6 linked regions of the Danio rerio genome follow. The protein of the gene in region 2 purifies or fractionates together with the protein of the main gene of each other region. This does not show direct contact. Links are inferred from orthologs where the notes say so. Each region holds a gene or a part of one and is shown on either strand. Other genes may lie near its edges. The genes, in order: larp7, kpnb1, nusap1, rangap1b, nup50 and rcc1.

Region 1 (3,500 bases), on a different chromosome or scaffold from region 2:
AACAAATAAAACATCTTGCCAGGGTATGCTGTGTGTAATCCACCACTGACAGTGACATAAGACACCTTATGCAGCACCTTTCAACTGCCGCTTGTGTAAGAGAGCTCAAAGCTGGTATCGATATTTCAAAAAAGCAAGATCATATAGTTATAAATATTCCATAACAATACTTATCAAAATATTTATACGTTTACATGTTGTTTATTGAGATTTTTGAGATGTGCGATTGTATAGGCTGTCTGATCTTTACAGAAGCTGTAAACTGACACGCGTGCTGTGATGTTTAGCTCGGACGAGGCGATTTTATTTAGCCTGTAGTCTTTAGATTTTTTACACAATGTTTAATTTCTTAACATTTCTTTCTTTTTTTATTTATAGTTTATATATAAAATGAGTGCTAGCTTGTTTAGTTGTGATCATTATGCAAGGATCATATTTCATATTCGGTTTATTCTTCAACAGTATATATATTTGTTAATAATGAATTTTTATAAATGGATTGTTCATAAGGACTAAGCTATTAATATATAATGCATTAGGCTAATTAATACATTAAGAAATTGAAGTCAGGTAGGACAACAAAATACAACCAAACATGTTCCCCCTGTTGGCAAATTTAACCAAAAAGTATCTTTGCGTGTGCGCAACAAGCTGCGCATCTGAGAGTGTGTTCAGCACGATGGGGAACATAGTGAGTCCCACAAGACCCCATCTTAAGCCACAGATGGTAAACATATTGGCCAGGATTCCTGGCAAAGAACATGTAAAAATCACTGTTAATAAATGCCAATTTACAGTGTTTTATTTATTTCTTTTCATTAAAAGACTGTGTCGAGCTGTCATTTTTGTAATGTAATTTTGAAAGTTTTTCTTAAATATTTGTTTCTTGTTCATTCGTTTAATCTTATTTTAACTTTGTGCAATTTAATTATTTATCTTTCTATTTTATTATCTTGTTAGTTTTAAAAACATTCTAACATTCATCACATTCGTCCAAAACTGAAAGTATTATACGCACGCATTTATAAGCTATTTAAAAGTAGAAAGAAAAGAGGAAACCCATACCCCACAGTGATACCGGTATTACCGGTGTTGTCACATGTCGATTAACCAGTAGGGAAATTTCCTCATCGTCACAACCCTAATATATATATATATATATATATATATATATATATATATATATATATATATATATATATATAAAATGTAATGGTCATTCTTGACAGTTGTTCTTGGGTCTTTAGAAACCTCTCTCACCCACAAAAGGTTCACTCCCACACCCACCACCGGAATAACCAGCTGTGAATAGTTGTGAATAACCAGCGCCCTTCACCACCCTCAATACCAGAGCTGAGCTGAGTCTCTTGAGCAATGCACGATCCCTCAACTGGTCCCCTGGTGCCGCAGCACCACTGCACCGGGTGTGTGTTCACAGTGTGCATGTTCATTGCTGTGTGTGCGCACTTGGATGGGTTAAATGCATAACACAAATTCCGATTGATCACCATTCTTGGTCATGTCATGACTTTTACTTCACATTTCTGTTTACCTATTAGATAGAACAACAGGGATTTTTTGAAAGGGCATGCAAACATTTGCTGCACATTGTCATCTGAATAAGAAATAAACTTTTACTATAGCACTTTATGCATTGCTTTACAATTCACAGCTATATAGTATTAAACTTTTTTTTTTCGATATTGCTATAAAGAGCTGCAACCTTGATGGACTAAAGAGAGGAAAGAAACCAGATTAGTTTTCCTCAAAAATTACAAAGTCTAAGTGCACAACTACCTAATGCATAATATAATCGGCACAGACAAATGGGAATTGGAAGGGGTTTACCAGCTTATGCCAAACATCTGAAATGTAACATAATTTGGGCTAGATATTTTTCAAAATAAACCAGTTTACAAATTGGTTCAGTTCAAAATTACACTAGTTTATCTAAATGCATATACTCAAACTCATTATGCAAACATTTCACAGAGACAATTTTTAATGAATCTCAATTCTAAAACAATAAACACAGCTTTTCTTACTTTGAGAGGACTCTGAGAGGGATGACTTCCTCCCCTACTTTCAATCTCTCTTTGAGCTTCTTCTTTCTCTTCCTCTTGGCCTTCAAAACAGAATCATCTTTCTTCTTCAAGCTGTTCAACTCTTCATTCTTGTTCTCAGATGATAGATCTATGAAGGAACATGAATAAACATAAGTACATAACCTCAGTGTTTTGTTGTTTTTTTTTTCTAAATGTCATACTAGGAGTGTTAGGGAAAGTTATTTTTGAAAGTAGTGCAGTGTTTCCCCTACCATAATTTTAGGGGGGGCGCCCCACCCTCTCAAGGGCTTTCCCCGGCCCCTTGAAGTCAAGTTGATTGCATTTTATATATAGCACCAGATCACAAGTTCTTTTAATTAACAAGCTAAATAGCCATGTGTAGTATCTTATTTACACAACGGCATGACATTTCTGTCTCTACATGGTCGCATGATTACAAATTTCTGCTCTCTGAATCGCGCATGGTGGAGTTCACACTCTCTGCTGTGTGAGAATGAGTGCATGCCAGATCTGACAGGAACGAAGATGCACGTGCACTCCCGTATATTATGTATAGAATACAGCAGATACAACACAGGTAAATGATGTGCAGGGGCGATCAATGTGTTCGCGTCACAGTGACAGCAGCTAAAAATATATACAGATGCAGTGCGACTTGTTTACAGTTTATTGGTGAGACTCGCGCGCCTAATGCTCAGCTCTCTTTATTGCAAGTGCAGCCATAGCATCCCCACTGTTTTGAGCTGATGTGGCGCAGCCAGTCACCCCTATCTAGCATCTCATCCAACCATATGACCTGTCCCGGAAGCTCCACGAGTCTCCTGTAAATTTATACCAGCCCTGTTATCCCCAAAAATGAGTTAAAATACTCAGAAATCAATCACAGCGACAAGAGTGAATGAGCAAGAGTACAGATCATGAGAGGCAATGTAATAGCATTACAATTCTTCGGTTAAATTAATACAGCAGTAAAGACATCAAAAGTGCAAATCCCCCTATCTCTCTCACCATTGAGTGATCTGCTGTCAATAGTTGGAAACAAGCAAAATACTTGAATGGTCATGCATATGTTTAGGCCTTTTTACATATAACAACTGAAAGTTCGGTTTGACAATACTGCAAATTCACTAAAAGCTGGCTGGGATTATTAGATAAATAAAACTTTATTCTTAACATGAATATTTAATAATATAAATTCTTGTAATACACGCATTGCTATAAACAGTAGTTTATAGACCTCTTTCCTTTTAGTAAAAGGGTATTAGATTTATAGGTGTGCATTTTAACTTCTTATGCATCAAAAGCTGCAAAAATCCTGATCGGACATTTTGCTTGAAGATTTTAAGAAATGTTTGGTTGAGGTTGTCTGCTTATTTGTTTATACTGAACATGAAGCAGTAACTTTAGAATAAGCTGCAATTTTAGCAGATGGTT
Region 2 (3,934 bases):
GACAGAGACGCCACGTTGTGTTGGCAAAACAAGCGTGAAGTGTTGCTTTAATAGTTTGCTGCAGTGAAGTTTTGTTTTCATTTTCTCTCTGTGAGAGCGCAGCTGGACTCACGTGTGGATTAACAGTGTACGCGACGCTCGACAACAATAACTTACGTGTCTAAGGAGGATTATTGTTTACCTGAGAGCTGTTCTCATCTGCAAACGCTGAGATCCGGATTGTAGTCTCCTCTAAATAAAGACGCGGCTCTAGTTGCTGGTGATTGTCCTGTCTCTACAGGTTTGGTAAGTGAGCGACCAGCGCTCTTTGTTTATATCTAACAAACTATTGCACCGAGTGTAAACACGTTAGCACCACAACCAAACTTTACCCTCGTGTTGGATTTTGTGACCGCATTTAGTGACCGGAATAACACACGCGGCTTTCTGACACTACCTGCCGAGTGCATTTAAGTTTCCGGGAAATGCTGAGTTTTTTTTCTCTCATTCGCCGTGCGGGATCAAACATTACATGAAAAATACACGCTTAGAGCAGTTCCTCGAATCACATATCTCGTTTGTCGCGAGGGACATGAATGAATTCCCTGAATGAAAGAGCCAAACTGCAGTTAAAGTCCAGCATTTAATCATTTGGCAAATAATTCGACTACAGATGTGCATGTAGGTTAAACACCATCACTTTCTACTGTGTGTGTTTTGACTCTGAAACTCGCGCGTGCCCAAATAGACACTCCCACACCCTCCCACTTTAGTTCCTCCGACACTCCCCCCTAAACAGAGCTGGACACGCCCACTTTTCTGACTTTTTCCAGAGTAGAGGTGTGAAAACACCCTGCTGAAACGAGGGGGTCTCATGGCCCTTTAATAATGCAGGTGTTTCAGTCGGGCCTTAAACAGCACAGCTGAGCCCAGAGCTCAATTTACCCGCTCTACCACAGAGCTCCATTAAACCTCCACAGGCCTGTCTGCACAGCAGAAGAACAGCAGTGGCGGTGCACACACACACGCGCACACACACACACACACACACACACGATGCCTCCATCATGAACACGGCTGTCTGCAGGTGTAGTGTTCAGGTGCTGCGGTTTCCTGAATATTAAACTATAATCATCTGCAGTGATGTTCAGGAGAAACTGAGCGAAGTTTTTCACCACAGCTGATCATCACTGAACTCCTGCTGCTGTAAAGGCTGATCTCAGAACAGCAGAGTGACCGCCATGAGGACTTCAAGATGAATACTCAAGTTCCCCATGCTGACGCTCACATCAACATCACACACACACACACTCCAGCATGCTCCGTCAGTGATCAGGGGAAGCTGAGCGCTGCACTACTGTAAGTGAAAGTACTAAACTCCTGCAGATCCACATTCTACAGCTGGTCCAGCCCGTTTGAGCAAATACCGCCATCATTTAGGAGTGTGTGTCTGATCTCTGTGAACACACACTTTACCTTCCTGCATCCTGAAGATCTCTCTCTCTCTCTCTTACACACACACACACACACACAGCATCCTTACGTAGTTCTTGATCTCCCTGCGTGCGCTGGTGTCGATAGCCAGCCATCTCTGCTGGTACTGACTCTTCACTTCCGGGTCTTTAGAGGTCAAAGAGTTCTTGACCTGCAGGCCGGCGGCGACGCGAGCCACCTGTGTGTTCCCCGGGTTCGCCAACACCTTGGACAACTCCACCAGGAAGGTCGGCTGAGAAGCAGAACACAGAGTTACACACACACACACCTGTAGGAGAACCAGTGGTCTGCTGGAGCTGATCTCAGCACAGTACTGAGATCCACACACACAACAGAGTCCTGGTCCAGAAACAATTTACACACTATCAATTCAACACAGTAGTACAGTGTGTGTGTGTCTGTGAGACAGTTGATGTGTGTGTGTGTGTGTGTGTGTGTGCTTCATCACCAGGTTCTCGATGGCCGCCTGCTCCAGAAACTTCTGTGCCGCCTCCAGCTCATTCCGATCTGAAAATCAATCACAATCATCAGTCAATTCCCTGATCGATCGCTTGTGAAACTCTCCCGCCAAACGCGGAGCTGCGCGTCAGAACCGGGAAACTCCGCATCGCGCTCGGCCACAGCGCTTTACCGGGCTCCGAGCGGGAGGAGAGTCGGTGTAAACTAGACACGGCCGTACACGCGCGAACTTTCAGAGGCAGCGGCACAGGATGACTGAGTGCTAGCCATGCTAACACCTAGCCACTTCCTGACTAGCATGCTAACTGCTAACAACTTTACCAACAGAAGCGCGGGCGGGACAAACCCCACGGCGGCGCGACATGTGCGCGACCATGAAGTAGAGCCGTGTGTCGGTGTGTGAACTCTGATCATTAACACTCGTTACCGCGCAGAGACCGGACACACCGAGCAGGCCGGTAACCCGCTCCTGCTCTGGCGAGCCGAGGGTCCGGCTGCTGTTCGCCACTCGACGGGTGGAGATTAACGCGTCGCGTTCGCGGTTCAGCGACCGGGCCTGCGCTGCGTTAGCCGCCCGCTAACCGTCGCTCACACCCGGGGAAGCGGCTCAGCCCCGGTCATCACGCGGGAGAAACGGCATCCGTGCGCGGGAGAGGCGCGTGTGAGGATTGCTTACCTGGAGACACGGTCTTCTCGAGGATCGTGATCAGCTCCATCCTGTCGGGTCCGCGGGGGCAGAACGAGTGCAGTCGGTCGGTAAAGTCGGTCGGTCCACGCCTAATGCTGAAGCGCCGAGCCGTTCTCGCGGTTACCGCTTCTGCTCATCAGCCGCTGTCGCGAGGAAAAGGCCGCGCGGAACTCCCGCCCGCGGAACGATATCACGCGCTGACGTCACAGGTCCCGCCCACGCGCAGCATCATGACGCTCTGCTGCCTACTGAGGGAGCGTCTCGATAGTGTGGAGAACTGCGTTCATTACAAGAGCCCGTCAGACCGAGTGTGGGTCAGAAAGAGCAGATGATGAAGACACGGAGCGCACTGTTATCAGGGGTAGCGTGTGGTGTGATTCCCACGGCACACTGATTACTAGAGGAACAGCACCTTCAGGCGCAAAGTCATCATTACTCAGCACTTTGATGAAGTGAACTGCAGATGTGCACTATTATGACACACACTGAGGGCTCGTTATAGCTGTCCCAATCCCTCTGCAGAACACTACACACACAGGGAACAGGAAGCAGGTCTTCAGTGTACTTCAGCATAGTGTACTGCAGCCGTGATCATGAGCCCTTCAGCCTGAGGAACACTGATCACACACGAGCGGAGGAGAGTTCTAGAGCAGCTTCCTGTGCAGAAGCACACACACACACACACACACACACACACACACAACAGCGCTCCTGCTCAGTGTGCTCAGTTTATTATTGCTGTAGAAGAGGCAGTGTGTGAGATGGTGTGTGTGTGTCTGTGAGAAAGCGTGTGTGAGGTTGTGTTTGTGTGTGTGTATGAGACAGTTTGTGTGTGTGTGTGAGGCTGTAGTTGACACTCCTCCATCACTGTAGGCATTCAAGTCAATATTTTATTTAACATAATTCATATTGCAGTCATCGTGAACAACTGGGATTTAATATACACAACAGAATTGTAACATTACGCAACCCTCGCTAACCCGCCCCGTCCTGCAGACCCGCCCCCCCGCTCTCCAACAGCCAATCAGCACACATATCCCAGCGGCCGCCTGTGCACCGCCGGCGATCAATGCAGCGGCCATCAATTTATAAATGTGATCAGGAATTGGTCAAATGCAGCGCTAAACACAACCGATACTGAGAGAATCTGGCAGACAGAGACATGAGGACGACTGAACACGGCTGATGTGTGCGGCGCGGGGCAGCGGCCGTCTCAAGCCCAAACCAATCAGTCCTCAAGCTGGGTGATGGAATAGAGAAGTGTGTGTGAGTGTGTGTGTGTGTGTGTGTGTGTGTGTGTGTGTGTCTGCCCCG
Region 3 (4,126 bases), on a different chromosome or scaffold from region 2:
ACTTTCAGAAAGAAAAACCTTGCTGAATTTAAACAATTCAACGTTCAAAAACATAACTTTTTTTTCAAACATATTTGAAGATACCCTCCCCACAGTTTTAGAAAGATGACACTATGCCATTTTTAACACAACATTTCACAAGAACTGATCAGGGTACATGGCAATTCAAACAGAATCATAAAAGATTGATCAATTGATATCTGAACCTATAGTGACTTACAGTTTGAGCCTTTGCCTCGGGTTTCTTCAGTGTCTTTTCTGACAGGGTCTGAAATGATAAAAGTAAATAATAGTAAGTGTAAACTAAACTTCAGATACCTGAAGAAAATGTTCAATCTATTTCTGTTTTAACTACATTATAGATCTTTGAAATATTTTGTGCAACCTTTTTAAAAAATATATATATATATTAATTTAAGTTATTTTTATATTACTAAATATATGTTAAAAGTGATAGCTCCTTAATGATTTATATAATGGCAGTCAATGGTTACTGTTTTTTTTTTAATTAAAAATATACTTGCATTCAACACACTCGTGCATAGACCAAGAATTGTTTGCCCAGGCTGTGAATTAAAGCTAATAGTATTTTAAATAATGTTACATTTCCTACACAGACTGATCGGTTCTTTTTACAACACATCAGTGTGCCACCAGGATATTTTTGTATGCATTTGTTTTTATCTGAAGCAGTGGTCCCCAAACTGAGGTGCGTGCACCAAGGGGTGTGCAGTCTGACCACCAGGGGTGCGCTAGAGAATGTTTGTAATGGAAATTTTTTTATCTTTTATTATTTTTATGCATTTATCTTTGGTAAACTTCACATGTCATATTACAAATATTACAACGAAAAAAAAAATCACATAACAAATTGTTATTTACAACCTATGCATGACGCTGTGAAAATTGTCAAATTCATAAAAGCTCATCCTTTAAATTTACGTATTTTATTTTAATAACGTACACAGAAAAATAAGTATTTAGTTATTGTAGTTAAAAACATGGAGTTTAATCGGAGAAAGGAGTGCTTAACAGGTCTCAAATATTAAAAAGGGGTGCACACAGCAAAAAGTTTGGGAACTACTGTTCTAAAATAACAAGAACCATTGACTGCCATTTATACGAATCACCAAGGAACTATCCTTTTTATTTTGTAGTGTATTTTGACCTTTTTATTTTGTTTTGTAGTATCCTTTTTTACTTACATATTTTGAAGTGATATAAAATACTAATTATAATATTAATATTAACAATGATGACAACAATAAAATTAAAAATATTGTTAAAGTTGATTTCCAAGACAACATTTCTAATTTTTATTTAGGTTAAAGTTTCTAATGTTATTTCTCTGTTACCTTCAGCTCTTTAACTGAATTCCTGAGCACTTCCATTTGTTTGTTCTTTCTTTGGACGTACGAATCGATGGACTCCATCTTTTTGAAGTGAGCCTCGTGGAGTTTCTTGAAGTCTGGGGAACAGTAATTGAAAATGCATTATTAAAGAGAAGAGCTTAAAATTAATAAGAGATGAAACGATCAATTAAAGACACTGTTTTTTTTTATTATTAGAGAATGTAAAATATATATTTTGTTGTCCTGTATAAAACTGAATATATTATATTACTAGGAGTTGTCGGCCGCATTGCAGGTTTTCTCTTCATCAGACCTTTATGGCGGGGAATTTTACCAACTGTTCTTCTCCCTGCATCACCAATATTGTAATTCATATTACTAGTCATCACTACATACACTGTACAAGCACAAGTGATTCAGTGAGTTAAAAAAATCACTCCTAATAATGAGCACAATTCATTAAAACAATCATTACCTTTCACACCCGTTTCTGTTGGACCACTTTCAGAATCTGGATTTAGATCTCCAGATTCTTTCTCCATAGTATTCTCTTTAGCGAAAGCTTCAGCTGGAACTGGAGTCTGTGTATCCTTGGCTGAAGACACCTTTCTTCTCTTGGAGCCCCTTCGACCCTCATCTTGTGGTGTTTTTTCTTCAGTCTAAAGAATATGCATTAAAAACAAAAATACATATTTCACTCCAATACATACAAATGAAAGATAAAGTAGTCAGTAAATGTGATTTGTGTACCGGAGAAATGATCGGTGTTGGTTCACTGAGCTTCCTCTTGGCGGTGCGGCCCTTTCCTCTGCGCTCGGTCACATATGTTGCAGCGTGCGCGTCCACAGGAGGAACAGAATCGTGCGCGTCCGAAGCGGCAGCGTCATTGCCCTGCAAACAACGGCCACGGCGTTTAAGCTAATAGTCAGATTTAAAATTTCTTATAGTTGTTAAATCCCAAAGACATTACTCACGTTCTCAGAAAGCTGCTGTTGTGAAAAGTGTTCTTTTAAAGCCTTCAACAGCCTTTCAGCCTATCAAATCAAAGTGCTGAATAAGTTAAAACAGCAATGCGTAAAGTTACTGAACAAGATAAGGTAACGTTAAGTTTAAATGTAGCAACATGCTATAATACTTTAATGTCTATAAACTAAATGTGGTGGGTTTAAAACCATGCTGGATTTACATCACATGTCTGGTTGCATGTAAACAGTAACGAACTGCACCACTTTATCTTATACAACAAAACTTACCTTCATATTCGCTTTAAGTCCCACTTCTTTGGCGAGGCGCTGCAATTCCGCATATTTTAGCGAGTCTAAATCCATGTTATTGCCTATAAAATCGACGTAAGTTGAAGAGGCACAAGTATAATACAGTAATCGACTGCTCTCTGATGTCGGATCGGTTAGTTTGGGTTTGTGATTGTCGTTTGAAAAAATACCGTGTTTCAAAAACAGATTTCATGGAGATGATTGGTTAAAGAGTGTATGACGTCGTTGTATTATATCCAATAAGAAATAGATTTATCATCTGGTTGACGTTGATTGGCTTAAAGTCAACGGCTAAGGCGGGTTTTGATTGAGCAGTTTAGAGCGCCACCTTACGTTCAAAACAATAAACGAAGCGTCTTTTGAACTTGTGTGTGAGCTGTCCACAGCAACATCCACAGTAGAAACAAATCTCTATGCGATAATGGCGAACAGCACTCGGAGTTTACTCGAAAGCTCTTATGATATCGGTCCATGTGACTCGACACAGTCAAGTTCAATTGTAGAACAGCTTCAAGCGGTGAAGGATAAAGAAATCTGCATGGTAGACTTTAGGAATTGCATCGTTTTCCAATGCATAACATGCAACACTGTGCTTGGAGACTCTCTCGGCGTCTGCGGGGAAGTGGAGAGCAGCCAAAGTGTCATTTGTTTGAGTAAGTTATATTTTACCTCATTTTAAACTCGAAACTTACCTCATTACGTCTTAAAAGGTTTTGTGAAATACACTAAACACGCGGGGGGCGATGTGCTGCCTGTTATGACCAAGTTACTGCAGAGACATTTTTGTTTAAAGGGATAGGTCACCCCAAAAATGCAAACTCCGTCATTTATTTACTCATCTTTTGTTAGTTTCAAACCTTTATGAGTTTCTTTCTTCTGTTAAGCACAAAAGAAGATATTTTAAAGCTGTAACGTTAACCATTGACTTCCATAGTATTTTATTCCTACAATGGAAGTCAATTGTTACAAATATTTCTTCACATTATCTTCTTTTGACTTCAACTTATCTCTTGTGTGCTGTTGTTAGGGATGTTTTCATCCACTCAAATGTGACATTTGATGTGTAATTTGGCCACCACCTGTGTTTTTAGAAAATGAAATGACTTTTGGTGACATCTTATTTTGACAATTTTTGGGGGGAAAATGTGTCAAACTCAACAATACACTCTGGGCAAATGCATTACCCTTTTGTTATGTTAAGGGCTCTTTTTGCCCATTGGCTTACATTATAACATTTTTGCTTTGATCGCAAAACCATGATACCATAATATTATGTATTCTTGATTGTTGTTTTTTTTTTTCCCCTGTTAGGAATAGGTTACATTATATTTATTTTTCTGTTGATCATTAGTTACAGTGGAAAAAAGGCTTATTTTTTGACTCTTATATAAAGTATAGTGTGTGTATAAGATACCTTTGCACTTACCTTTATATTTCTAAGAAAATCAAATTAAGCACCTCAGCACTTAAAACAGCAAGTATATTTATGCACGCACAGTA
Region 4 (4,147 bases), on a different chromosome or scaffold from region 2:
CTAATAAGGTCTTGAAAAATATAAAGTCTTCATTTACATATTTAATGCATCTATGTGCACCCAGATACTTAATCATGATATATATAGATGAATAAGTTATGCCTCAGACCTTAAATGCTTTGGCAAGTGCAGTGGCACCATCATTCTCCAGGCGATTACGTCCAGCTATGAAGACTTTTAACCTCAGTGGGGAGGCAGCAGCACTTGACTGCTTATGGCATTCAGTCAATGCAGAAGCAAGGACCTAAAAAAATAAATAAATAAAAAAAATAAATAAATAAATAAAATACACAGACAAACCTGTGCTGTAAACCTCAAAAAGTATTAACACGTTTATAATCATGTCAGAGAGCAAAAGCCTACTTCACTGACCTAATAACAAGCAGATAAACAGGGTTTTCTTAGGTTGGACCAGAGTTTTTTTAATACTAAACTTACCACCCCTCCTCCACTGCCCATGCCACAGTTATTAAGCCTGAGCTCCTGTAAAGTGTAGCACGCAGAGCTCTTTAGGAGGTTTTCGATTCCTTTCACTCCATCAGGGCCGAAAGCATTGTCGCTCAGGTCCAGCTGAGTCAAGCGAGCCCCTGACGTCATCAAAGCATTGCCCAGTGATTTCTAAAATTGGAGAAAACCGTTGGTTAGAATATCAGCAATTTACTTTTGAATGAAAAATGAAGAATGAATTGTTTTGAATGAAAACAATTTACTTGAAGAATGCATAGAAATTACGGCTGCACAATATTTGAAAAATCTAACATTGCAATATTTTCTTATCTTGCGATATACATTGCGCTAAGAATACAATTTCACCAGATAACTTCATAATATCTTTATTTGGGAAGAATTTATAATGTTAGATCGATTGGGATGATACTGCAGTGGAAAAGCACCTCTATAAAATCTAATAAACAATCTATACATTTTTACAGGTACCCCGACACATTTTCATTGTGGTCTGTGCTATTTACAGTGTATTTCTGTTTTTGCATGTGTTTTGAGTATTTTATGCTTAACAATCCATAAATACAATCAAGAAAGAAAAATACAATTGAAATAAAGTGTTTTATTATTTCCTGAGTCAAACAATATTCAAGTACAGTAACTGAATGATAAAAATAATTCATTAATATAATCAGTTATGGTAAAAAAAAAAGGTACAATTTCTTATACCTGAATGTGATTGTGCATCACATTGTGCAGCCCTAAAAGAAATAAATAAATGTTTTTAACTGGATATACAAAAGCTTACCAGAGCAGGTGGAATTTCAGAGCGAAGGCGGCCTGTAAACATGTCACTCCAATGACATTGCTTTGAGAGAAAAAAAAAAGACAAGTTATAAAAGCAGCAAAGTGAAAGTAAAAACTGTGCAGTGGTATTTAGGTTTAGGATGGTATCAGATTTTCTTGCTGCAATTAAATCCTGAAGGTTTTATCACTGTACATTATACCACAATTGTCACAATATTAACCAAAGTTGCAAAAAGGTTCATGTAACGTAGAAAAACAAACAATTATTGTATTGCTTAATTGTACATATCTGCTGAGAGCAAACAAATGTTTCAAACAAATTTAATTGCACTAATACACTAGGTAACACTTTACACTTTACAATAAAGTCCTAATAGTAATTGTTAATTAATGCATTAAATTTAAAATTAACACTGAGAAAAAGGGCAGTTATAGTAACTATGTTTAAGTTAGTATGTCAAAAATTCAACTGACCAGTATTAGCCATTAACTCCAATCAACATTTTTTATGCATTATAAGACGTTAACTAACATTTTGAAGAGCCCATGATATCAATATTGTGTATGCTCGTTATCTCAGTTTATTGCATATGTCTACTAGTAATTTAAAACTACCTCCAGTTCACGTTTAGCTTCAAGCGACTTCGCAATGGCATCTGCTGCTTCAACACCCAATGTGTTTCCCTCTAACCGGAGAGACTGCAGACCCTGACACCGTTCAATGTCCTCCACAATCTCTTTCACTGTAACAAAAGAAAAGGAGGGAATTCCAAGAGATGTTGCTTATGGATTAAGACATGAAAAATAAACAAATTTGATAATACAGAGAACGTTTTACTCACCTGATTCTGCATTGTCCAGCTTCAGCCCTCGTCCCTTATAACTTAACTCCACTTCTCCAACATGAGTTTTGGCCAGAGCCTCTGTAATCTGAGCAATATCCCCTAAGGCCATTGCTTTCCCCGTTTTCTCTTCTAATAAAGTTAGTAAGACATAAGTGTGTTTCAAAAATGTATCTCGTTAAACCTAAAACATACCTCACAATCATATGAATTTATTTAGGATATATAAAAAGTACATCCTTAATCTTACTTCATTGTTATTAAGACTGTAATATTAATATAGCCACTGCTAGCTTAACGTTATCTCTAAACATGGATATAAATGACAGCCAAAGAAATAACGCTACGTGTTATATTTGAAATGTGCTTGATGAACTTTAAACAGTATTACTAAGCTCAATATAGTCCTCAAACAGCTAGCTAGTATGATAATATCATTGCATCATTGGTACTACGGCTGATACACAAACGGTTTAAGCTAACTCAGAGAGGAGTTAGCTTACTAGCATTAATCTCATTCATGACTTCAAACTAGCTAATTTAGCGCAGGAACTTTGGTTAAATCTAAAAAAGTAAGTGAATGTTTTCTATTTACCTCACACCTCGGCGCGGATTTTAATGGAGGAAGATAGCAGATAACTAACTTACGTTACCAGAATAAAACCATCAAAACAGGAGGCACATGGAGGCGGCAGTCCTTTGAAAGTGCCGGTGTCATGATCTTTCATAATAAAAGCACGATTAATATTTTTGATTGTTATAATAGCACAGCGTTACTGAAAACGTCATTATTTTTCGGTTTAAATTTTTCATTTAAATACTGTTTAAATACTGTTTTTTATTACTGTTTTTTTATTTTTATAATAAATCAATAAAATGTTGCACGTTGAAATAAATTTAACATTAGACAAATGTGTGACTTAAATAAGAATGCTGATTCATGTAAATATATAGCTGAATAACAAATCATTTGTATTTACTAATTATATTTAAAATTTGGTAAAACAAGTTAGATTAAATGTACGACTTGCATTCCGTTTATAAGACCGTTTGTAATACACATTCTACACACTCCATGACGCAAGCCCCAGTGGCCTAATGGATAAGGCACTGGCCTCCTAAGCCAGGGATTGTGGGTTCGAGTCCCATCTGGGGTGGAAATCTTTTAATCACACACAAGGCGATCTGCGACAGAAAACCAGTTAATGTGGACATACAACGTCTTTAAGTTCTAAATTGAATAACCAAATCTTGGTTTTTCGTACTTTAGTCTAGCATTATATTCTGGGATGTTATATTTGCCCAGTGTTTGATTACAGATTACATACCATGATTAACCAGATCCAGAAAGTAAACTTAAGCTTAGTCTAATTCAGCGTGAAACATGTATCGATTTAACGTCACAAGGGTATTTATATTGTGCGTCCTCGCGGCGACATTCGTAATGGCTCAGCGTGAGTATTTTAAATTAATTCCACTCACTTAAAGTCACGTTTTAGTGGTAACATGTCCTTTTGTATGTTTACATAACATTAGAAGGCTAGTATTCCTTAAATTGATTGTTCAGATACAACTGTCATTATTAACTCATCCTCTACCTGTTCCAAACCAGTTTGAACTACCTTTTTTCTGCAAAACACATTTGAAAAAAAGCTGAAAACCAGTAACCGACTCATTTCCTACTATGGATATATGGATACAGGGTTTCAACTTTCTTTAAACGATTTTCTTCTTAAATATCTTGAACTCATAGGGCTTGGAACCACTCGAGGTTGAGTAGGCTACTGTATATAGCGAGTCAATTTTCTCTCTTTTTTGCGTAAAATATCCGTTTAACCAAGTTGAAAACGCTTGGCTAGAACTACAACAAACTTGTTATCATACTTGGCATTTGTTTATCAAACCAAGACAATATAAAACAAGTCAACCTATAATGTTTATTGATATATGTGGTCTTTTTAAATTGTTTAAGATGTTCAGAGAGCCACTGTGTACTGGGATGCTGTTCAGAGGTCTGTGGTCCTGAAAGAGGATGTGATGGAAGAGAATGGAGA
Region 5 (3,500 bases), on a different chromosome or scaffold from region 2:
TCTCTATATTGTTTACCACGCTATTTTTAATATATTCAGTCAGAATTAGCATGCTAGTATGACTTCAAAACAACACCATCACTATCTAGTTGACTGTAAACATGGCTGTGCTTTGATAGTCATTGGCTGCTAATGATTTCCTAATTCAGAATTAGCAAAATATACTTTTCTAAAAGGATATCATTACTGTCTGAATATCCAAATATAAACTAACTTTACCTCAATTCTAAATTAGGAAATCAAATTAGCAGCCAATGACTATCAAATTATATTGTGTTGGTGTTGTTTTAAAGTCATACTCGCATGCTAATTCTGATTGAATATTCAAAATAGCGTGGTAAACCCTATATAGAGACAGTTAAATGAACGAAGGTGCGAATATAAAACCAAATTTACCTCAGTAACCAACCTGTAGACTTGAACTAACCGTTTATTTAGCCGGATAACTTATCACGTGACGAGTTGTTCACCCTGGAAAAAGTGTTTACTCAACATTTTTAAAGCCTACTGTTGCTTTTCTCAATTTGTTCATATTCCAAATGTGTTCGTTTGCTTTCATGTGAAATCGGAAGAGAAAGTTTCATTATGTTTCTTGTTGAAGGCTTAGCTCAATTACAATTTTTGACAACTTTAAACAACAGATACATGACAATATAGTGAACAAAGTAATGCCAAGGTGATAGAAAGAAAATAACAACAGCACAAAAAAGTAAATAAATAAAACAAGAGTGTTATTAATTAACAAAAAAAAAAAGTTTTTTATTTATTTGTACATTATTAGAATTACTGCAAATGTACCAGAATTAGCCAGAAGGCTATTTTTCCTCTGTTTTCCCTGAACAACCTAAAAAAACAATACAAAAATTATACAATCAATCAAACATAGTTATGTAGATGCTAATAAAAAAATTTAAATATACAAAATAAAATAAAAAACACCAACATTTTGTAGTTCTCATAATTACAAACAAGCAGGACCTTTACATTAATGAAAAGTTTTGAAACTAGAGCACGGTTGGACGATTTTAAAGCGTTTCTATTAGCACTATGCTGAATAGTGCAAAAGTAATTTTTCAGTTCCTTATAAAGCACAATTAATCCGGGTTTTTGTTGGAAAATTAACACTTTTGAATATGAAACTGAGTTAACAAAATAAATAGGTTAATAACACAAACTTCATTAGTCAAGTTATCGTAATTAAAATATCCAAAACTTACGTTTTCAAAATTAAAATTAAAGCGTACCTGATAAAAACCGAAGCATCATAGCAAAGCTTTTTAACATAACCACAGTGCCAAAACATGTGGGGTGCGTTTACATTTAGTCATTTAGCAGACGCTTTTATCCAAAGCGACTTACAAATGAGGACAAGGAAGCAATTTACACAACTAAGAGCAACAATGAATAAGTGCTGTAGGCAAGTTTCAGGTGTGTAAAGTCTAAGACGCAAAAACATTAGTAAATTTTTTTTATGTAATACAGTTAGCGGTGGAGCCAGAGAGGGAATTGCAGATTAGGAAGGAAAGTGGAGACTAAATAGTTGAGTTTTTAGTCGTGTCTTGAAGACGAACGAATGTACGAGTTTTAAACTTTACCTCAATCATTTTGGATGGAAATTTCTGACGTTTCTGAACTCTTCATATATTCGTTTTTAAGTGAACTATCCCTTTATATTAGTTGACTAAATGACTGTCATGATTGTGTTTAACAGTTGAGCTGTGATGGCCAAGCGGATTGCGGAAAAAGAGTTGACCGACAGGAACTGGGATCAGGAGGATGATGGAGAAGAGGTGCGCCACTTTCCAGCACTGCACTAGTTCATTGTCAAACATCATTACTTTCCAAGTGGAAACACTCTTAACCAAACTATGCGTCTAAAACAACACTTAAAGTTACAGTCCACCTAAACATAAACATTTACTCGCCGTTTGTTTGTTTCAACCTGTTTGAGTTTCTGTCCTCTGTTGAACACAAAACAAGATACTTTGAAGACGGCTGGAAAACAGCCATTGATGTCCGTCGTATTTGGTTTGGTTCATACTATGGATGTTTTTTCCTAACATTCGTCAGAACATAATAGCTGCGTCTCATTTCAGACGCTGCAGACTTCAAAGGCGAGTCCTTCGAAGTCCACGCAGGCCGAACCGAGCGCTTTGAAATGAGATGATCTAGCCTAAAGAGGACTCATCTAGCAAGCGTAAAAGCTGCAGTTACTAATAAAATTTGTTATGACTTTTTTTTTTTTTTTCAAAGTGATTTTAAAACTTATTCTAAAGGCAAAACAAGTTTATAAAAGCTGGGAATATGTTTCCTTTGATCCGTACATGTACACACAACGTTACTCGTTTGTAAGACATGTCGTACTCTTTTTGTTTTTTAACGTGTTTAGATAGATATCCATGTAAAATAAACCTAATTTAAACATTCGACCTCGTCGTCTGTCCACAAAAATACCTCTTGCTTTCTTTGCCATCGCGTTTAATGTTCAATCGGCGTTTGTTGACTAACAATAACCAAATGCCGAGCGAGACACATGCTTCCTGTTTATACTACAACGGGCATGACCAGAGTGCGCGAATGGTCACGTGATATACGTTTTTGGTGGCGTAGTGTGGACGGAGAAATGTTCAGAGATGCTAGTGTGGACGCGGATCGTTTTTGATCTAAAACGCCATTTTAAAACTAAAACGCACTAGTGTAAACGGGGCCTAAAACACCTTACCGTTTCAGTATTAGTGTTATATTATTAATGACATCCAGAATCAAGAACGTCTGTGCTCCACGTCTGACACCTTCAAACGCCACCTTCACTTCACTGCATGTCAGCATCGTCTTCTGAGGTCAGAAGTCATTTATTAAATGAAGAAAAGATTGACGCAGCCTCTCCAAACGCAGCAATTGACGTCTTTACTGTTGATATTTGGCGCCAGTTAATCAGAAAGTGACGATTTTGTTCGCTTTGACTCGTTGGATGGAAACGCTGCTTTATTCGCGCGTCTATAATCCAGTTTTGCGCATAAATTTAATTAGCATTTTCGGATCGAAACATAGCTAATGATGGACTAAAGTTTTGAGGCAGTGTGAAGAATTTTATTAATTAGATTTTGTGCAAAGATTTAAACATAATTAAACATATTAGCCTATTCTCTCAAGCGCTTTAAGTTTAAATATAATTTTTTGTGTAGATATTTGTGCTCCGTATTTACAAATCATGCTGTGCTTCTTGCCAATTTTAACCAGGGGTAATTATTGTCTCTTCAGGCAGGAACGTTTTCGATTGCGAGTGATGATGTGATGAAAAACCGCGCCATCAAGAAAGCCAAGCGGCGTAACGTTGCAGAGGTAAAACCCTTCCTGCATCCCAGCAGGCGCCCAGTTGTTTATTTAAAGCGATTATAGTTCACATCAATACTGCTGTTTTGTCGCAGGGAGAGAGTGGAGGGGCTTTCAAAGCGTTTAAGGGGTTTTCTCTGGCTCCAGCCACAGCGACGGCTTCGTTC
Region 6 (4,169 bases), on a different chromosome or scaffold from region 2:
AGACCTGAATGATCTTCTCTCCAAGATCCACCTTTGCTGGCACCGTCTCTGAACCCTCCTCAGATGTGTCCCGGCCCAGCGCACCCTCATCATTACAGCCAAATGTATAAACCTACAAGTCGACATTAAAAACAACAAAAAAAACTTTAGTCCTGACCTCAAATCCCCACTAACATGACTATTCAAGCCTGTTATGATTAATGTTATTTGTGTAGAGCTTACGTTTCCCGTGTCACTGAGGCAGACTGTGTGCATTCCTCCAGCTACTGCCTGCACAATACCCTCAGGAAGAGTCACTAGAGCTGGTTTCTTCCTCTCCATCACATCCTCTCCCAGGCCAAGCTGACCAACATCACCCTGACCCAGAACAAGCACCAGGCCCTTCTCCTGGCCATGACTGATATGAGAGACTACAAATCAACAAAAATAGAAACATTCAGAGGCATGTGGCACAAAATGAGTGGCTCCAGAGATAAAATAAATCCATTAATCTAAACCCATAACTAGAATTTGTTAAGCAAATCAATATACATTCACTGGCCACTTTTATAGGTACACCATACTAGTACCGGGTTCGACCCTTTTGCCTTCAGAACAGCCTTAATCCTTCGCAGCATAGATTCAACAAGGTACTGGAAATATTCCTCAAAGATTTTGGTCCATATTGACATGATAGCATCACAGTTGCTGCAGATTTGTCATCTACACTTCCATGATGCAAATCTCCCGTTCACCACATCTCAAAGACGCTCTATTGCAGGGATCACCAAACTTGTACCTGGAGGTTCGGTGTCCTGCAGATTTTAGCTCTAACCCTAATCAAACACACCCGAACAAGCTAATCAAGGTCTTGGGTATACTTGAAACACCCAAGCAGGTGTGTTTAGGCAAGTTGGAGCTAAACTCTGCAGGGCACCGGACTTCCAGGAACGAGATTGGTGACCCCTGCTCTATTGGATTGAGAACTGGTGACTGCGGAGGCCATTTAAGAACAGTGAACTGATGGTCATGTTCAAGAAACCAGTTTGAGATGATTTGCTTTATGACAGTGCGTTATCATGCTGGAAGTAGCCAACAGAAGATGGGTACACTGTGGTCATAAAGAGATGGACATGGTCAGACACGATGCTCAGATAGGCTTTGGCTTTGACTTGATGCTCAATAGATACTAATGGGCCCAAAGTGTGCCAAGATAATATCCCCCACACAATTACACCATCAGCCTGAACCATTGATACAAGGCAGGATGGATCCATGCTTTCATGTTGTTGATGGCAAGTTTTGACCCTAGCATAAGAATGTCAGACCAGGAAACATTTTTCCAATCTTCTATTGTTTATTTTGGTGAGCCTATGTGAACTGTAGCCTCAGTTTCCTGTTCTTAGCTGAGAGGTGTGGCACCCGGTGTGGTCTTCTGCTGCTGTTGCCCATTTGCCTCAGACCAGCCTGTCTGGCACCAACAACCATGCCATGCTCAAAGTCACTCAAATCATCTTTCATCTTCATTCTGATGCTCTATTTGAACTGCAGCAGATCGCCATGGCATGCATAGAGTTGCTGCCATGTGATTGGCTGATTAGACATTTGCGTTCATGAGCAGTTGGACCTAATAAAGTGGCTGGTGAGTGTATATCTAGGCCTCTATATTGATATTCACAAAACAGAGTACACAACAGTAACTTCAAATTTGAGGTACATATCATAGTTTGTTTCCTTCTGACAACAAATTTACACCTAATAGCTATATGAATATTCTTATGCTTTAAAGAAACATTAAAAAGTCTTTATGAAATAATGACCTTTTAGCTTTTTCGCAACTGTTGAATCGCTTGGTGCCGCTGTTTGTCTCTTCACAGCTTTTTTTGCAGACATGGTAAGCCCAGATGCTTGACAAAACCTGAAACTATGAATAAAGACAGGTTAACAAACAAGCATCAGAGAAAAAAAAATAGTTTCTTAGACAAGTTATTTAACCAATCTAGCAATCAAGACTGAACTTCAGGCCTACAAAAAAAAAAACATGATAGACTAGAATAGGTCTTAAAAGTAAATTCAATTTATTTTGTTTTTGTTGTTTAATATAATTTTAAAATAGATCTCATATTAAGTAAACAACATATAAATCATTACATTACATTTAGAGCCACTTTGCTGTATATTGACTATGTATAGCATTAATGCACGTGAACGTGTATGGTCTTATACAGGCACACATCTTTTTTTGGCATCATAACAGTTATAAATGTGGTCATTGCAGGCAACTGACGAGTTTTTGACACACAGCCTCTTTTTCTGGCTGTGACTTCACGGTTTGTGACTGACAGCAGCAAATGTTTGATGGCGGTTAATCGGCTAACACGGCATTAGAGGGGGAAAACAGACGAGGCTGTTATTGTTTTAGCTTTAATGCAGGAAACTAATTTAAACATGGCGGAATAAGATCTGAGTTCAAGTTCAACGTCTTAAAGGAACATCCCGCTAAAATTTAAAACAAACGCAGTCTCTAATAGCATTTTGAAGCCATGTTTTATTCTCGTGACCTTTAAGTTAGTTTGATGAAAAGTCATCACAAAAATCATGTTGAGACACTTTAAATGAGGTTAATAGCAATGAATGGGTCAAACAGGCTCAGGCTTGTTCCGCAACACATTTCACAAGCTCTACATACACTACATTTCTCATGCTTTCTGAAGACTAATATTTTTAATCTTACCGTCAACAGGCAGCTGAGATGATGAGCTACACTTGTGTATGAAAATCTCCCAGGTTCAAAGTTTGTGTTCGCTCGAGGAGGTTTGTGAACATCAATAACTCATTGAGTGAATGTAACGCACGCGTGTCTCACTCTTGCACTACTTCGTGTGACCCGGTGGATTCGCGCTAATAAACAGACTCAGAAGCGCCAACTATTGGGAAGGCGGGTAGAAACGTCTGTAAAATAAGAATTAGCTTTATCATGCTAATCGTCATTTTACGTTAGAATACCAAATTTAATGCACGTGTTTATAGTTAAACGTTGTTTTATCCGTTTAAAAGTTTTTAATGATGTTCTTCAACTATTAGTTTTTCTTAACAGCCCGACACAGAAACAGTTCCCTCTGGCAATCCATCCCATCAACACCTTATGACAGTAATTGTGAAAGAAACTTCACTTCTTTTTACACACAAACTTATTTAACAACGTACTTTACACGCCAGTTTGCACATATAATACAAACACGTGTCACTTTGTACATTTGCATTAACTACCTCTATTTTTAAACTAGATTTTTATCAGTTTTTTTGTCCTGTTTATGTAATTCTGTTGCACTATAGAAGCTTGTTGTCACGAAAAAAAACCCCTCCTCAGATACATACCTGGCAATCTCAGACAAAAACTTAAAAAATAAATAAATAAATAAATGAATAAATAAATAAATAAAAGAAAAAGCTGAATCAAAGAAAAACCTTTTTTTTTAAATTACGCGTGATGTTATCTATACAAAAATAATTTAGTTTTATTTGATGGCTGCCTTTTTTCTATATTTTATACACTGTAATAAATGCTGGGTTCCACCACTCCATGTTGTCCCAACACAAATTTATTAGGTTCGCTTAATCTTTTTTTTATACAAGTAGTTTGAACTTAAAACAGTTAAGTTGTACCTTATTGTGTCTTGTTTCAACTCATTTTTGTGGTTAGAACAAACAGCAAAAGTATTTTTTTAAGTGTACAAGACACAAATGAAAAATAAGTAGATTCTGTCATGATTGAAATGAGGATTATTACCCATTTCTGACATTTCCTTAAAACGAAACTGTGAAACCTCATCCTTGTACATTTGTTGCTAATCATCTTTTTTTTTTCTTTCTTGGAAGTTGCAGACACATGAAATGCAGAACAAATGTGGTTAAAAAGTATTTAGACCTTTAATTCCCAGCTGGGATGGTGTAAACTGCTCTTTTACAAAGAGCTTTAACATCCTTTAATAATAAAAAAAAATTATAAATAAATAAAAAAAACATAGAAACCCATAAATTTGTAGCAGTTTTATTGGTTATAATGATAAATAATTATAATGGAAACTATAACAGCCTCTATACCCTGCTGAAAAATCTAGCTGGTTTTAGCTGGTCGACCAGGCTGGTTTTAGAGGGGTTTTGGCCACTTCCAGGCTGGTTTCCAGTCA

Evidence for each region.
Region 1: the proteins of kpnb1 (region 2) and larp7 purify together in Homo sapiens (affinity purification with mass spectrometry; 3 studies listed by BioGRID and IntAct, with this or other methods). This does not show direct contact. The link is inferred for Danio rerio from reciprocal best matches to the Homo sapiens genes KPNB1 and LARP7.
Region 3: the proteins of kpnb1 (region 2) and nusap1 purify together in Homo sapiens (affinity purification with mass spectrometry; 3 studies listed by BioGRID and IntAct, counting the BioPlex papers as one, with this or other methods). This does not show direct contact. The link is inferred for Danio rerio from reciprocal best matches to the Homo sapiens genes KPNB1 and NUSAP1.
Region 4: the proteins of kpnb1 (region 2) and rangap1b purify together in Homo sapiens (affinity purification with mass spectrometry; 3 studies listed by BioGRID and IntAct, with this or other methods). This does not show direct contact. The link is inferred for Danio rerio from reciprocal best matches to the Homo sapiens genes KPNB1 and RANGAP1.
Region 5: the proteins of kpnb1 (region 2) and nup50 purify together in Homo sapiens (affinity purification with mass spectrometry; 4 studies listed by BioGRID and IntAct, counting the BioPlex papers as one, with this or other methods). This does not show direct contact. The link is inferred for Danio rerio from reciprocal best matches to the Homo sapiens genes KPNB1 and NUP50.
Region 6: the proteins of kpnb1 (region 2) and rcc1 purify together in Homo sapiens (affinity purification with mass spectrometry; 3 studies listed by BioGRID and IntAct, counting the BioPlex papers as one, with this or other methods). This does not show direct contact. The link is inferred for Danio rerio from reciprocal best matches to the Homo sapiens genes KPNB1 and RCC1.

The regions. Positions count from the first base shown.
Region 1 is NC_133182.1:62,353,776-62,357,275, forward strand, and holds part of larp7 (la-related protein 7), read right to left. Parts: intron 2,194-3,500; coding exon 2,046-2,193; intron 1-2,045. UniProt on the Homo sapiens protein: RNA-binding protein that specifically binds distinct small nuclear RNA (snRNAs) and regulates their processing and function.
Region 2 is NC_133194.1:51,598,584-51,602,517, reverse strand, and holds the start of kpnb1 (importin subunit beta-1), read right to left. Parts: upstream 2,801-3,934; 5' UTR 2,649-2,800; coding exon 2,609-2,648; intron 1,981-2,608; coding exon 1,922-1,980; intron 1,706-1,921; coding exon 1,523-1,705; intron 1-1,522.
Region 3 is NC_133188.1:36,694,674-36,698,799, forward strand, and holds the start of nusap1 (nucleolar and spindle-associated protein 1), read right to left. Parts: upstream 2,801-4,126; 5' UTR 2,681-2,800; coding exon 2,606-2,680; intron 2,387-2,605; coding exon 2,327-2,386; intron 2,244-2,326; coding exon 2,103-2,243; intron 2,012-2,102; coding exon 1,828-2,011; intron 1,702-1,827; coding exon 1,624-1,701; intron 1,469-1,623; coding exon 1,356-1,468; intron 269-1,355; coding exon 221-268; intron 1-220. Other genes in the region: oip5 (protein Mis18-beta), read left to right, coding at 3,048-3,279. UniProt on the Homo sapiens protein: Microtubule-associated protein with the capacity to bundle and stabilize microtubules. May associate with chromosomes and promote the organization of mitotic spindle microtubules around them.
Region 4 is NC_133187.1:20,673,220-20,677,366, forward strand, and holds the start of rangap1b (ran GTPase-activating protein 1b), read right to left. Parts: upstream 2,801-4,147; 5' UTR 2,742-2,800; exon of another isoform or gene 2,689-2,741; intron 2,226-2,688; 5' UTR 2,206-2,225; coding exon 2,094-2,205; intron 1,995-2,093; coding exon 1,867-1,994; intron 1,313-1,866; coding exon 1,253-1,312; intron 619-1,252; coding exon 439-618; intron 245-438; coding exon 110-244; intron 1-109. Other genes in the region: plbd1b (phospholipase B-like 1), read left to right, coding at 3,478-3,547, 4,066-4,147. UniProt on the Homo sapiens protein: GTPase activator for RAN. Converts cytoplasmic GTP-bound RAN to GDP-bound RAN, which is essential for RAN-mediated nuclear import and export. Mediates dissociation of cargo from nuclear export complexes containing XPO1, RAN and RANBP2 after nuclear export.
Region 5 is NC_133179.1:71,993,290-71,996,789, forward strand, and holds part of nup50 (nuclear pore complex protein Nup50), read left to right. Parts: intron 1-1,677; 5' UTR 1,678-1,721; coding exon 1,722-1,790; intron 1,791-3,261; coding exon 3,262-3,342; intron 3,343-3,428; coding exon 3,429-3,500. UniProt on the Homo sapiens protein: Component of the nuclear pore complex that has a direct role in nuclear protein import. Actively displaces NLSs from importin-alpha, and facilitates disassembly of the importin-alpha:beta-cargo complex and importin recycling.
Region 6 is NC_133191.1:37,422,222-37,426,390, forward strand, and holds the start of rcc1 (regulator of chromosome condensation), read right to left. Parts: upstream 2,801-4,169; 5' UTR 2,714-2,800; intron 1,904-2,713; 5' UTR 1,873-1,903; coding exon 1,800-1,872; intron 411-1,799; coding exon 223-410; intron 113-222; coding exon 1-112. UniProt on the Homo sapiens protein: Guanine-nucleotide releasing factor that promotes the exchange of Ran-bound GDP by GTP, and thereby plays an important role in RAN-mediated functions in nuclear import and mitosis.